Linked DNA regions of Drosophila melanogaster. The gene in region 1 interacts genetically with each later gene. Each region holds a gene or a part of one and is shown on either strand. Other genes may lie near its edges.

What was found. A genetic interaction does not mean that the proteins touch.
Region 2: of ZnT41F (region 1) and Zip89B, changing one enhances a phenotype caused by changing the other (phenotypic enhancement), as found in Drosophila melanogaster (one study listed by BioGRID).

Annotation. Positions count from the first base shown.
Region 1 is NT_033778.4:5,778,849-5,786,644, reverse strand, and holds the start of ZnT41F (zinc transporter 41F), read left to right. Parts: upstream 1-3,786; 5' UTR 3,787-3,868; exon of another isoform or gene 3,869-4,346; intron 4,347-7,796.
Region 2 is NT_033777.3:16,302,919-16,310,836, reverse strand, and holds Zip89B (Zinc/iron regulated transporter-related protein 89B), read right to left. Parts: upstream 5,080-7,918; 5' UTR 4,667-5,079; coding exon 3,439-4,666; intron 2,507-3,438; coding exon 2,247-2,506; 3' UTR 2,137-2,246; downstream 1-2,136.

The DNA.
Region 1 (7,796 bases):
AGAACACTCCTCTGGAAAATAGATGTAATTTCCCCCTTATAAAACGCAAAAACAACCTCCCTAAAAAACTTGAATAAATGTTACTTAACTACATTCAGTTTTTATTTTTATACCCGTTACTCGTAGAGATTCTTTGAAAAGTATGTAACAGGCAGAAGGAAGCGTTTCCGACTGTATAAAGTAGATATATTCTTGATCAGGATGTCATGCCCGTCTGCCCGTATGAACTATGAGAAACTATAAAAGCTAGAAGGCTTACAGGTTCTAGAGACAAAGACGCATCGGTTGAGATTCAGCATCTGTAGGCAACGCAAGTTTGTTGACCCATGCTGCCACGCCCAATCTAACGCTTACAAACCGCACAAGACTGCCACTCCCACAAATTTAAAAACATCGATATCTTTTCACATTATTATTAGTCTTGTAATTTTCAATCGATTTGTAAAAAAATTCGAACGCTCCAAACCCGCCCAAAACTGCCACGCACACATTTTTGAAAAATTGCCAAAAAAAAACTTTCTACCACGCCCATTTTAACGTCCTATAGCCGTCACGCCCAGACTTTTGAAAAATTTTTACATTTGTTCTTATTTTATTCCGCAATATCTATTGATATTCCAGAAAAATTATGAAATTTCGCATTAGCACTCACCTAGCTGAGTAACGGGTATCTGATAGTCGGGGAACTTGAATATAGCATTATCTCTTGTTTTTTTATTATTTCAGTTTCTTTAATCAGTATTCATTAGTCGCGTTATTCTAAGTAGATTTTGTTCAAAATATTTTCACAAAAATAAATCAAAAAATTTTTTACTTTTGCTTATTTAGCTTCCAAGATTTATTCCGGTGTATAATTAGAAATTCTTTTTTCTTTATTGCTTTTGTGCATTATTTCCAATATATGTAAATGTTAATACAGACAAAATACACTCAATTTTAATCCTCGGCAAAAGATCGATCTTCCGGCGCAGATGAGCTGAAATAAGATCGTGGAATTTTCCACAAACACTACGAATATATACGAACACATACATACTTTCCACAATTTTCCGAACCAAAACGAATTTAAATAAACTTATCTTTGCAAAATTTATCCCGAAAATTCTAAAATTACATTCATCTTAGGGAAAATAATTAAATTAGGTTAAGTTAAATAATATAAAAAAATATTTAATCCTAACGGAAATTTAATTAAAAAAAATTAAAAATACAGAAGTAATGTAAAATAAGTTTCCACCTGGGGTACATATTTATATAAATTATTACAAATAATACAAATAGTTGCGGATATAATTATTCGGAAAATTTCACTGTAGATTCGCAGTTTGGTATCTTTCACGCAGGTATAGGATTAGGTATGACAGAATTTAGCAAGCATCTTTATATTTTTTAAATTTATTTTTAGATGTTTACTTCAACAGATGAATTCTCCTAGTGTATTCATATCTCCTTTATATCTCGTCCACGTGCGTAACTTTTTTTTATTAATATACATGTTATGTATCTTTCCAGCATGTGTTAAAGTTAAATAAAAATCGTAGGTTTTGTTTATGTCTGTTAATCGATGGAAAGAGGTGCTCCACGGGAGCTCAACGGGGTGCTCCCCGGGACAGCACGAAAGGGTGCTCCACGAGCCGGCTGATCACTGACTGATCACTTTTCACTTTTTTTGCGTGGCGTTGTTGTTGCTCCAAGCAAAAGATTTTCCAGATTAAGTTTCCGCCTGGGAAAAAACACACAAAAAAAATGTAGACCGCATACCGTTTTGCGGCGAGGAAAGCTCGCTAGATTATTATATCATTAACGCGCGCAGGCTATAATTTTCTAAAAAACAGTTGAATGAAAAAAATGTTCACGAATTGACTTTACGACGGTTCGATTAGAAAAGAAATAGAACGGAAACTCAAGCCTGGGTCTAGGCCATCAGAAGAAATCATGATCATCTGGAAATCACTCCATTTGTGATAACCAAGCTATCCAAAACTTTCCTAGTTCAGCTGATAAAGATTTGCATCTCGTCCAGTATATTTCCTATGACTAATACTGCATTTAATATGACCCTTGATTACACGCCCAAAGCTTGGCTCAAGCTTTCAGGGTGTTCTAACATAATAGCTTCAGGGGTCGCTACAAACTCCACCTATTAACTTTAATTAACCCTAATTAACAACTCTAATTCCTCTTCCAATTTGCACACCAATGTTTTCTCTAAGCATAGCTATTCTGTTTGAAATAACTTAGCTAAATGATCGTCGAAAGTGCATTTGCTTAATACATATACATACATTCATACACATACATTCTTTGTCAAATCAAAACACAACCAAAGAAAATTCGATTATTCATCCGTTCTTTATGACAAGCACCACTGCATACAACTGTTTTATAACAATCTCCTTTAATTGGTCCCGTTGTAATAAGAAATACCACATTCCGGGAAGCAGATTTTGCTTAAGTGCTTTTGCATCTTGATAAAAAGGATGGGGCGGGGATGAGAAAAAAGAAAGTAAGAAAACGAAATGGATTATCGGATTTCCTGCGATTTTTATTATAGGTAATATAATAATTTCATGAGCAGAAAGAAATCTTTAAAGGTATAATAATATATTTTACTTTAAGTTTAATCGTAAACTGAAAAGAACCTGACAACAAGACGATGGAAATTTCTCTCTTCAAAAATAAGTACGGATATAGTGATTAAAACACATTGAAAAAGTGATGAATTGAGCGGTGTTTAAGCGCCATTGATATCAACTAAATTGTAGAGTCGAATATGAATATGAATATATGATCCAGAAAATCCGTTTGAAAAATTTATATCTTACTTCCACTTTCTTGTTTTTAAGGATAAACGCCTTTCATATTACTATGTACATATTTTAATTTTAACAGTATTTGATAATACTGCTTTACTGTGGATGAACTTGATAAGGATCGAACCGCTGATAAGTCTAGTCTCAACTGTGTCGATTTATAGTTCCCCGATATCGAAACTCGTCATAAAGTGTAAATGTATTTTTTATAGCGCCAGAAACGTTATCTTGAACCTTATTTTTAAAGATTACCTTTTAGTCTTCGAGTTGTGTTTATAATCACGTTCGCGAGCACAAAAGTGTAGATAACGTCGACTTAATTTTCCGGTTACACTAAAGAAACCAATTGAAATGATCTGATATGTACCTTACATATACATAATCAGTGTCTAGCGTCTTCGGATCGGACGTTAAGGACGTTAAGAACTTCCTTTTTGCTTTTGGCTTTCAGATGCCTAATGATTTTTTTTTTTAAATTAAGAAATAGAATATAAACGAAAAGAGAATGCTATAGTCGAGTTCCCCGACTATCTCAGCTAGTGTGAATGCGAACCCGAAATTGCACGATTTATTTTTTTTATTGGGATATCGATAGATGTTGGGGAATAAAATGAGAAAAAACTTAAAATTTGACCGGTTCGGCAGCTTCAGGACGTTAGAGTGGGCGTATCAAAAATTTTTTTGGAAAATGGATACATGGGTCAACCTTCTATCATTTATAGTGCCAGAGATCTCGACGATCCTACTTATGGCACATTCTTTTCTGACTCCACTTAGCTGAGTGATGGGTATATGATATTTCTGATTGTAGAGGAACTAGACTCTTCTCTCTTATTTTGATAAGCGAACAACAGACGCAATTCCCAAGTCCTTTGAGAACCACTCAAGCGTCGCCACTCAAGAGAAAAATGCCCCCACTATCACTGTCTCGCTCTACCCAGAAACCAACTGAGAAGGCGACGCCGTCACCGCTGTTAGTTGAACTTCACGCGTCGCCGGGTGTGCCGGGAAGTAAGCAGTCGCTGACGATCGGAAATCTAAAACAATTACAGCGAGTAGGGCCGTGTACGATAAAAAGAGAACACCAGCTGATAGTGCACGACAGCGGAACATTATTGTAGTCTCTCAACTGAGTATTTCGTACATTCACATATTTTGTTTACATAGTCCATGCAATGCGCATATGGCTGGGAACTGGAAGATTTACAAAATACGATTGGATACGAACAAGTCATAATAATGATTTAAATTTTAATGTTCTGAAGAGTTTAAAATGAATATGTTTTTAATATCAGAATTTTACGCAATTAAGCCTAAATGAGACTAACGCCAATGGTTCAGTGTGATACGTGAGAGTGAATACAACGAATGGGCGCTCCGTTGTGATCTCTCTTTCCAACGGAACGTACATATGTACATTCATATGTATGTGCATAGTTATGTGCAGCATCAGCAGCTGAGTAGAAACATATGAGAGAAAGAGAGCCGCGGTCGAAATTATTACTCATTGCCAAAGTCAAACCTGCTGATAAGGTCAGTGCACGCTCAGCGCCGGCATTGTTTTCTTTACTTTGCTTTGACTTGCGGTTAAACTCTCTGGTTGGTGGAGGATCTAATTCTTATTGGTAGTTTTCTCGCAAAACGCTACGTCCCATAGCTACATATTTACAAATCAAATAGATTACAAACCACATCAATTTTAATACACGTATGCATGCTATTAGAAATTATATTATGTTATATATACATGTATATATGTATATAATATAATGGGTTAAATATGCCAAAAAAAAAGGTGCTCTAGAACACCTAGCCAAGAAAATGAAATACGAGCCCCAACTACTATTATTGTTTTGTATTGTGTTTCGAACAGCATGTGTTTTTTGCGGTGTGCAATGTTCAACACACGATATGTATACTCATTACTACTACAGATAACGTATGCAAAAGTATTTAGTCTGAAAGAGAATTTTATTCTCTTCATGTTGATAAAAAATGTTATATTTTCAACAACAACAACAGAGATAAGAAAAAAAGGCCACTATTAATTCGAACGCTGCAAAGTATAACAGACTAATTAACATAAGAATTGTGTAACGTCGCGTCCTGGGCTGTATTACACATTAAATACGTTTTGGCATTGATTTAAAAAAATTTTGGCCATGTTCTCGAGAAATCGATACCCACATCTCTTTGAGGTCACAAATGTTCCTCTGTGGTTCATTCGAAGCTTTCTTTTCATTAGCCACCAAATATTGTTTATGGGGCCTAGATCTGGACTATCTAGCCAATCTAAAACCTCCACTTGCTTATATTGTAGTCAATTTTCCTACTGAATCCTTTCCCGAGCCCATTGCAAACTCGTTTTTTTTTTTGCGAAGCGTAAGCAAGGGTTTTTCCGTGGCCTACAAGTAGAGTAAAAGGGTATACTAGATTCTTTGAAAAAGTATATATATTCTTGATATGGATCAATAGCCGAGTCGATCTGACCCTGCCCGTCTGTCCGTCCGTCCGTATGAACGTCGAGATCTTAGGAACTATAGAAGTTAAAGAGTTGAGATTAGGGATACAGTTTTCAGAGAGATAGTTTTTACTATCTACTAGTTACTATTATTATTATTACTATTATTACTATTATTACTACTATTTACTATAGTACTAGTTTTACAATACCAGTATTTCGACACTGTTTTAATTTGATATTCGAAACCATAATAACAGTCGCAAAATGTTTGGATTGTTAACAATTTTAGATTCTTTGCCTTAGCCGTTTGTTGGCTTTACATTTTTTGGGAAGACAAATGGTAGAATATACAAAATGAAAATACAAAATGTGATCGTGTCAGCTTAAGCGATAATGGTAAGGTTTTGAATCAAACTTACATACATAGCGATTTGATTACCCTGTAGCTTTTATAGTTCCCGATATCTCTCGATATTCATCTCTTGCCCTCCAACTAGACAGGAAAAGGGTATCTTATTGTCTATCAAAGATAATAACAAGCTCTTCTGGCGATTTGATTGGCAACAATATGCTTTCGGTCAAAACCTGCCGAGAAAACCCAACGCTGATAACCCAACGGCACACAAGCTAGTAGGACTACTTTTGCTGATAAGCATACATGAATCAAATGAAAAAGGTTTAAATTGCCAGTAGAGTTCCACCAACGTGCGATCCGTTGTTGATAAATGCATATCTACATTACTTAAGTTGTGGAGTGTAATAAATTTAATTGGTTAGTCCTTAAATTCTAACAAGAGAGAATGCTGTATTCGAGTTCCCCGACCATCCGATACCCTTTACTCAGCTAGTGGGATTGCGAATGCGAAATTATTCATAAATGAATAAAATAAAATGAGAATGAAATGAAAAAAATTAAAAATTGACAAGATAAACAATAAAACGAAGAAAAATCGACAAACTTGCGTCTGTATGCTTGATTTCAGCCGTCTAGCTTTTATAGTTTCTGAAATCAAGACGTTCATAGTATGACGTTCATACGGATAGACGGCCATGGCCAGATCCTATTCAAGAATATATATACTTTATGTGGTTGGAAACGCTTCCTTCTGCCTGTTCCATATTTTTCCACGTATCTAGTATACCCTTTTACATTACTAGTAACGGGTATAATAAACAACATTTTGTTTAGCTATCATTATACGTACATTGTATAGAATAATCAATTTACCTTATAAGAGTTCCTTAAGAGTTAACTTAAAATGAAAACGTTTCTAATCTGCAATAAACTACCACTGTATTATTTAAAATTTTTGTAAAATCCACGTTTAGGCAATCCACGTTTAAGCAGGGTTTAACATATGGGACCATATAATCTTCTATGTAATTTCTTGCACGCTTAGCTTGAAGTTTACATAAAGGGGCTTACATAAATAGGATGCTGGAAGTGATCATGAATTCCTCTCCCTGAAAATTATTTTTTAAATGCTGCCCTTGTTACACATTTCCCTAGACATAAGGAAAACAAGAGAGAATGCTATAGTCGAGTTCCCCGACTATCAGATACCCGTTATCATTTTTTTTATTTACGTTATCAATATTAAAATGTTTATAACTAATTTCCAAAAGAGATACCATTGTTGGCCTCGGGAGTTTTGACCGACTTGCTCTTAGTTGCCATAATGTTTTCGATTTCGTCTGGCTTTCATATTTCTACTTTACCTACAATAATCAATATTTATGAATTTTATTTAAAGATCTTCTTCGAGTTTCTTACCCTGAAGACAAATAGTAATTTTTCTTGGCTAAGCAATCAAAGAGCTACCATTAATTTGTATCCTTATTCAAAGGTATACGGTGTATCTTTTCTCTGTTACCTAACTAGTCCCATAGACTTCAATGTAAATGTAGTGATAATGGTTTGAAATGTACTTTTAATACAATGAACAACATTATTTGTTAATTAAACAGTAACTTACAATGTTATAACTAAGAAAACTTACTGACAAAGTAAACACACGATTTTCACACACGATTCCTATGAGGGCTTGAGGGATTAGCATTGCATCATGTGCTTGTCGATGTATATCCTCTTTGAAGGTCCAGCTCGTGACAGATCATATTAGCCCATAGATGGCTTCCAATTATTTTTAATCTATATTCTATAACCTTTCTAATATGTCCATATATACAATAAAGATCAAATTTTCTGCACCTAACTCTTACTGTCGGGGTAAGGGTCTTGGGACTAGGGAATCCTTTGAGGACAATAAGGCATTTGGTATTTTTGAGGGCACTACTTTAGTACTCCCATTAGCGAATATATCATAGCAGTAAATGCATACATGTTTGCCCTTTTAACGTCTACAAACCAACCAAAAGTGTCACGCACTTACTTTTGAAATATATGTTCGTCTGTATGAACATTGAGATCTTTGGAACTATAATAGCTAGAAGGTTGAGATTAAACATACAGATTCTAGAGACAAAGACGCAGTGCAAGTTTGTTGCCACGTCCACTC
Region 2 (7,918 bases), on another chromosome or scaffold:
TAAATTAAAGCGAACCCAAATGAAATTGTATTTATTGGCCAATGCTAACGGAAAAATGTTATTGCGTATTAGAGAACTAAAACCATATTTATGTCGAACTAGATACGTTCTAATTGTTAAGTACCCGTACCCTACCCGAATTCCCAAAGACGTTTTGTAGCAGTCCAGCTTAAAATCGAACAAATATATTGTATTTGCCACGTTATAAATGTCATCAAATTCACTCAAGATTGATATATTAAAATAATTATTAAAAAACGATCCAATAAAACTGCAAAGAATTAACTTTTATCACGAACAAACCTAGTACCATTATTTATTGTGGTGTTTGGGAAAAGTGAACATACTTTTAGGCATAGCAGTATAATTTTTGTAGAATTCCATGCACGAATTTTTAAGCAAGTATTCTTTGTAGTTCTTGAAAAATGAGTGGATGTAAATAAATTAGTTTTTAATGGCCAACTCTCTAACTCAAAAGAGTGATCCTTACTCATATAAAACGAAAGTTCAATTTCGGAAATAACGTTTACTCACTACCGGTTATCAGAGCCTCAATCAGAACAAACAAGTTTTTTTTTTTTTGCTCACATCTTGTATTTGGGCTATCGCATACCACTGTTTTATATGATTTACTGGCGGCACTCCTCTGGTATATATGGTTCAAGAGCTCGAGTTCAAATGATAATATTGCCTATCAGCCAAGAATATTAGAGATTAGTTGTTCCGTTTGCCGTTAAGCCTTTAGCCCCACGATTTTGCCACACTTCATCGTGTGTGCACTCCGCTGAGATAGTCTTGATAACATCTGTAGACGGATAGCGAAGGCGAAGAGAGAGTGATGCGCACTTGATAAGGTGAGTTCCGTTGGATACAACGGGGTGGGGTTGAGTTCCCAATAACCTGAGCATCTATGGCATCGTCATCGGCAACAGCACAGATGTAAATAAGATCACCCGATGGCGCTAATTGAGCCACCAAGATGTTTTCATCGGCTGTCAGGCATGTTTACCGCCTCGCAAATTCACACTTGACACTTGACGCGCTAATTTCCGCTGCAGTCCGGACATTTGGGGATCGATGGGGGGGGCATGATGTTGGGCTTCCAGTTCGGCTCGAGCGGAGAACATGCGCTTATCGCAGTTATCAAAAAACAGAGAGATAGCGGTCCGTCTGGTGAGAAGCAGCAGCGGGGCCAGCTCGGAAACCGGTCTGCAGCGAGTTTTGTGGAGATATCGTGTAAAAAATGTACGCAAGCAACGAAGCTATCAGCTGTAAATTTGTATTTATTGTGGCCTATGCGACAAAACAAGACGATCACATGATTAATATATACCTGGCAACAAGGCCTCGTCAACAAGTCCAAGCCACTTTACGATTCGCAAACTGTAGAGCAGTAGAGAGATATCGTGCTGAAATTTCACAATGTCGAGAATCGCACTCCCAAACGGGGCCTGCCGGCAATCTGATGGTGGAACTTTATGCCCAGGCACGTATTTCGTTTTATAGCGGGTATTCTCGAAAATATTCGTATAAGCAATCAAACTTCAGAATTCAACCCAATTTGAAATGCCTGAAATATTTGTTTAGAGCACGTATAAACCGCTTACTCATCTAATTAAGTTACTATTAAGCCAAATTTTGAAATTAAACATACCTTAGCTTTATTGACATATTTCATTAATCAATCGATTCGGATTTGCTAATGACTTTTTCAATCTGATATGTCCGATCTATTCACTTAAAAACGAGTATCTTCACTTTGTTATATGTACGTAACCGCTAACCACTGAATATGGGCAAATTTGATTTTCAGTTAATATGAAACCTAATGTCGAATCACTAATTGTTTTTATTGTTTAAGAAGAAAAATTTTAAAAGCTCCCTGAACATTAGGGAATGTTGTAATATTTTATGTACTTTCCTTGTTGCTTTTTCTGTGTTTAACTATAAGTTCACAAAAATAAATTATTTGTTTCTCTAAATTTATGTTTTGTAGAAGTCATAAATGGCTGTAACCTCATAAAAGACTGTAAAGGCCACAAATACTGGGCATAGATAAGAGTTCTAGTTCTCTTAGCGTTTACTATTTTTTGACCCAGTTTAGCAATTGCATTTAATGTCAGAATTTAATCGCTTCAGTTTTTTAATATATATTTTGTTTCTACTTTCACTATTTTTTACACAGTACAAATATATAATACACATAAATACATATACAATTAGTATTCTGCTGAGCAGGGTACAATCTAGGCGTCCTTCTTGGGGTGGGCTTCAAGCAGTTTTTGGGTCACCTGCCGCAAGAGCTGCAGCTGCTGTTCATAGTTGTGAACCGTGGCCAGCTCCTCAGCGTGGTTGTGGTGATGTGGATGATCATGGTCGTGCTGGTGGCCATGGGTGTGGCCCGATGCTGACCTGGTCTCAGTCTCAGTCTCTTGGTGGTTGTGTGTGTGTTCCGACGTGGAGCAACTGCTGTGGCTGTGGCTATGACCATGTCCGCCAATGGAAGCTGTAAGCGATAAGGAAGGTTAGTGACACGTTATAGGGTTGAACAATGTATGCTGTTAGGAATGCCAATCCTTATCGGGTAGACCCTGTTTCCTCATGGTGATTTACACACTTCTCTCTTGATTGCTTAACATTTTTTTCGTCATGGTAGCATGGGAATTCAATTCCAACAGCCCACTTCCACGCAATGATTTATGAGCGTTTTGTCCTGCCTTATCTGGCCCTAGACCATATAAAAACCTAACCGACTTTCGGGTAATCACATATTTGTGGCCTAAACTTCTCGTCTGATTTTTTATCCCGTGCTCATCAATACAATTGCGAGTGCGGTTTTCACGGTGCTTTTTCGCATGGGCAACCCCCTGATTTTTGCGAGATGACTTCATGGCAGGGACGGGATTTTTATTTCACATTTACTCTAGGTACACAGACTGACAAGCCGTCTTGTATATGAGTATGCAAAATAAATCACAGCAAGGTCTGTTACAAGGTCAACCACGCAGCATTTAGCAGATCAGCTATATAGAACCTGTTCCCAATTTCCCCGAATCGATTCCGGTTAAAGAATCTCATCTGACGCACACGGCGACGATCGTACTAATCACCGTTAAGCCTGCTTATTATTAAGTATCACCAATTAAAGGATAAATGATTAAAGCAGGAGTCCCTAAGGTCTAATGTGTCTAGGCAATTCATAGATATCAATGTAAGTAAACTAACAAAACAATATTTCTGGTTAAGTAGCAAAATGTACACTAATCATCATTTGATGTAAATTTGCGTAATAAAAAGCAATATATAATTAATTGAAAACTGCCTTAAGTGGCAAGACCGAGTTGTATTTTACATCGCAAATTTCTGTCTCACTAAATCCCTACGATTTGCATATTCAAAGGCCACAACATGTAATTATTATTTAAATGTGATACTTACTCAACTGCTGCAGGCCAAACATGACAAGGAAGCCGACGAAGAGGGCCAAATAGGCGCGCAGACCGGATCGATTTTTCGAGAGTATCTCAAAGAACACCACGTATATGAGCGTGCCGCAGGCGAATCCTTGCAGAATGGCGGAGACCAGACTGGGTCCGGATGTCTCTTCGCCGTGATTTATCAAAATCCCGATTCCGATGCCCAGAGGGCTAACCACCGCAAAGGTCAACACATAGAGAACGGCCAGTAACATCCGGGTCCTGGCCACGATCAGCTCGACGCCCACGCAGAAGGCCAGGACCAATTTGTGTGCGGAAACGGCACCGAACATAAACCACACCGAACTGGCGGAGCTCTCTAGGCCAATGGCCATGCCCTCAAAGAGTTCGTGCAGCGACAGAGCGGAAACGATGAAGAGTCCGCGCAGAGATGAAGCCAACATGTCCCCCGCATCGGCATCGTCTGCGATTACTGGTAGATGGCTATGTCCATGTCCATGCCCGTGGCTGTGTCCGTGTCCATTAGCTTGTTGCTGTGGCTTGGTAGCAAACTTTTGCTGCTCCAGATCGTTTTGCAGGAGATTCTGCACCGATAGTGTTCCAAGTTCAGCGGTGCCAGCCAATGGCGCCGGTGGGGCTGTGGGTGTGGTAGCGTTGCCTTCGGTGGGTTTCAGCAGGTGGCTGTTTCGGATGCTGTGACCCCGCTCGAAAGCGGCGCCAGCCTCATCCTTCTGATGATGATGGACATACGTGTGCATGGCCTCCTCGATGAAGTACATGAGGAAGAAGCCACAGCACATGAGAAGCTCGGCCAGCGGAAAAGTGAGCTCTCCGATGATGCCGCACTCCTGCAGCTCTTCGACGACCTCCTGAACTTCGGGCAAGAGATGGAGAAAGGTGGTGGCTAGCAGGACGCCGCCTCCAAAGTACAGCAGGCATTTGACCACAATGGCGGATCGTGCGTTCGTCTGGTTTTCCGTCCAGCGATAGCAACGGTTAAGCAAGAAGGGAATGGACCCGCAGATCGCGCTGGCGCAAAATAGCACCACCATGGCTGTGACCTTGGCAACCAGAACGCCACTCTCGTCGTCGTCGTTGTCGTCGTCATGATCATGATCATGGTCGTTATCATCGAGATCCTCCCCGTCGTGACGTGATGTCCAACGGTTGGACGGCTCATCGATTTGCAGGAAGCACTTGAGGAAATTATTTACTTGCGTTTGATTCATGTTGCTTTTGTTTTCTGTTTGTTTTGTTTCGATTTTACTTGGTTTGTTTGGTTTTCCACAGATCTCCCGAACCAGCTAAAAGACTGCGGGCTCCGGCTCTCCTCTCTGACCACTTGTGGTCGAAAACAAGCAGCTCTCTTGGCTAAAACTGTTATTCCAGCACCAGCAGCATGTGTCGCGTTTGGAATCTCAATCGACTGGGTTGTGGGTTGGGCTCATCTGGTTGGGCTGGGTTTCTGCACTTGCATGCCGCTTTTCACTTTTTCAGTCACTTTTCTTTCACTTCGTTTGATTTAAGAGCCTGTCCTTATTGGTAGTACTGATTGGGTTGGATTGGTATTTAGGTAGGTTTCTGTTTTTTTTCTAGATGCGCACAGGTGTTGAGCGCTTGAGGCGACCTCGCAGACTGACGGAATCGGGATTTGGTAATTCACTTGAATATCTTGCGCGGGCTCTACGCTCCCGTGCTCCAATGCTTCAACGCTCTTTCCGATTCTCCCACTAACGAAGACCAGACATGAGCAGCAAGTTAAGCAGGTAAGTAGCAAGAAAACTGCTTTTAAAGCTCGCTCTCCCACTCGCGAACGTTCACCTGTGCGCCGCTGTTTCATTTGGCAATAGCGCTAATTGTCTTGGGCTCAGCATAAATATATATATACACACATACACATATTGGCATCTACAGACAATGCACAAAGGCCAGAGTAATTGAGTAATTGCATCCGTTCACTTTGGGCAGCATTAAAAGGCGCCTGACCTTAGCCAAGATGTAGGATCGCGACTTTTACTTTGGCGCTATTTAGATGGCCGGAAGCAAAAGCTCTGCTTTGCGGTCTGGGTTTGCGTCCTGGCTAATTGGTAGGTAGCATATGTAACTAACGGTTTGCAATGTAAGCCTTATTTAGGGTTGCCACCTCTATAGCAGAAAGAGTTTTTTCCAACTTGAGTAAACGGGGCACTGAAAATAGCATTTGTATCAACTGTATTAAGATGTATTGTAGATAGTAACATAGGTATTTGTGAAATTAAAATCAAGTGTAACGGTTACAACGGAAACAAAGGATACCTCCAAAACACCAATTTAGTCGTGTTTGGGAAATGAGTCGGTAAAACCAGATGGGAGCGTGGACAGATCGTGAGATATCTGTTAGAGACCCATGATCTATTAATTAGTATAATCAAGCCCACCGTAATTGGTCTAATTCTTTTGTTTTTTTGTTGCACAGCTTATTATTTATCGTAACTTGCTGAACAAAAAAATGTATCAATTTACTAAAGCAGCTCCATATATGGCCAAAAAAACACAAGCTTTTTGTAATAATTTTTCATTTATTTTGGTTTTAATTTTTTCTTGGTTTTTTTCAATTTTCATATTTTTTTCGTTTTTTTGTTGGTTGTTTTTCTTGGTTTGCTTACATTGTTTTAAGTTACCATTTGTGTTTGCTGTTATACTTATACATTAATAATAAACCATTTTTACACAATAATTCTGTTGTTATTTTACTTTATTCGCGTTCGCAAACGATATAATGCCTACAACATTCCTGTTGGAAAATATTTCTGAGTACGTCTTCGCTCGCTTTCTTTTTATTATTATTTAGCTCTATTATAATTAAATTGTTTCGCTTTACTTTAGTGTTAAAACTGCTTTGCCGCAGTTAACAATGTTAACTGCTATACCTGCAAATAGCAAAAGGCCTGCGTGCACTGCTTGCTTGCCAACCATTAAACGCTTTTTGTTATCTTTGATCTGCTCCGCACTCTGTCCTTTTTGAGTCGTAAATATGTAAATTTCCGTTCTTGAATACATTAATCAATGCATGGGTTATTTTTCATTTGGTTTTGGTTTTGTTTTTCAACATTTAAAGTCAATTATGTATGTATATTTTTTATAATTTACTTTATATAAACTAGTGCGGTTTTCTTGTTCTCCGGATTCCATTTTCGTCATAGAAATATTAATTTTAGCGTAATTTGTTTGTGTATCTTTAATATTTCATATATAATACAAATGAGTTTTTTAACTATACAGGAAATTTTGGTTAATTGTTTATGCAATGTTATTCATGTAAATTATGAAATTTGATTTACTGGTTTTCAATGTTTTTCCTGCTTTTATATACTTAAAAGACTGCAAAACAACACGAAAAATTTGCATTGTCCTTGTATAGTTAATGCTATATTGGTTTTCCTCGTTATATGTATATTTGTAATAAGTATAAAAAATTTGTTTAAAATATATATTTCCACATACAATTTATTGATTTTAGCTTTACTTTTCGCGTTTCATGGAGAAGTGTAGGTAAAAATCAAATTCGTTCAGAGTCGGAGATGTGTGTTTTTGGGAAGTGGGTATTAGCTGCAGGCAACTTTTTAGTAGTTTAGTACTCATATCACGTAATATCAAAGAAATGGCTCAGTACATTAGTATTTACCTATCAAGTGATTGATCTTTGCGGAAACTTGGTAAGTTTCCTAACAATTTATTCCGCTAACTTCGCACATCATAAACAAGGAATTATCTAAGAAACGATCCAAAATTAAATGCTCCAAATTAATTCGACTACCAAATACCAAAAGCGATTTCTACATTTTGATTTATCCGATACATAGACGTGTATATATATCAAAATACTTGTGTATATATATGTACATATTAGGTATAGAAAAGTGCATTCAAAACAGAGCTAAACCAAGCTGCCTATTGATTCATACTGTATATCTAGTACATCATATAGCTTTATACATATAGCCATTATCAGACAAATAGCGAATGTTTTGATCAATAAATAAACGGGCATTATTTTCCGAGATGATTGGTAATAACAATAGATTGACAGGGTTATTTAGAACGTTTTCAAACCATTTTATTCGCGAAAACTTTAAAATTGGATCGTTTAAGTACTTAAAATATGTGTTTAGGACACTGAAAATATATCACATCAACAAACCATTTTTATATGGTATTTGTATTCGGCAAACAAGTATACCCTGCAGGATCCGAAGACAAAACCAATTAGCCAAATATCTTACCACCAAGCAAAATCATTTTTATTCTCTGCAAATTAAATTTCTTTAAATGGGAAGTCCATTAATCGAATGGTAATTTGTATATATTTTTCGAGAATATTTGGTTCGGCACGGAAGCATAATTATATTAACTATTTTTTTCTTTTGCGTGCACAACATAGACTTCCATATTTTCGCTTTTTATTTTTCCCCTAGCGAAAATTTAGGATTTCTCTGAAACTA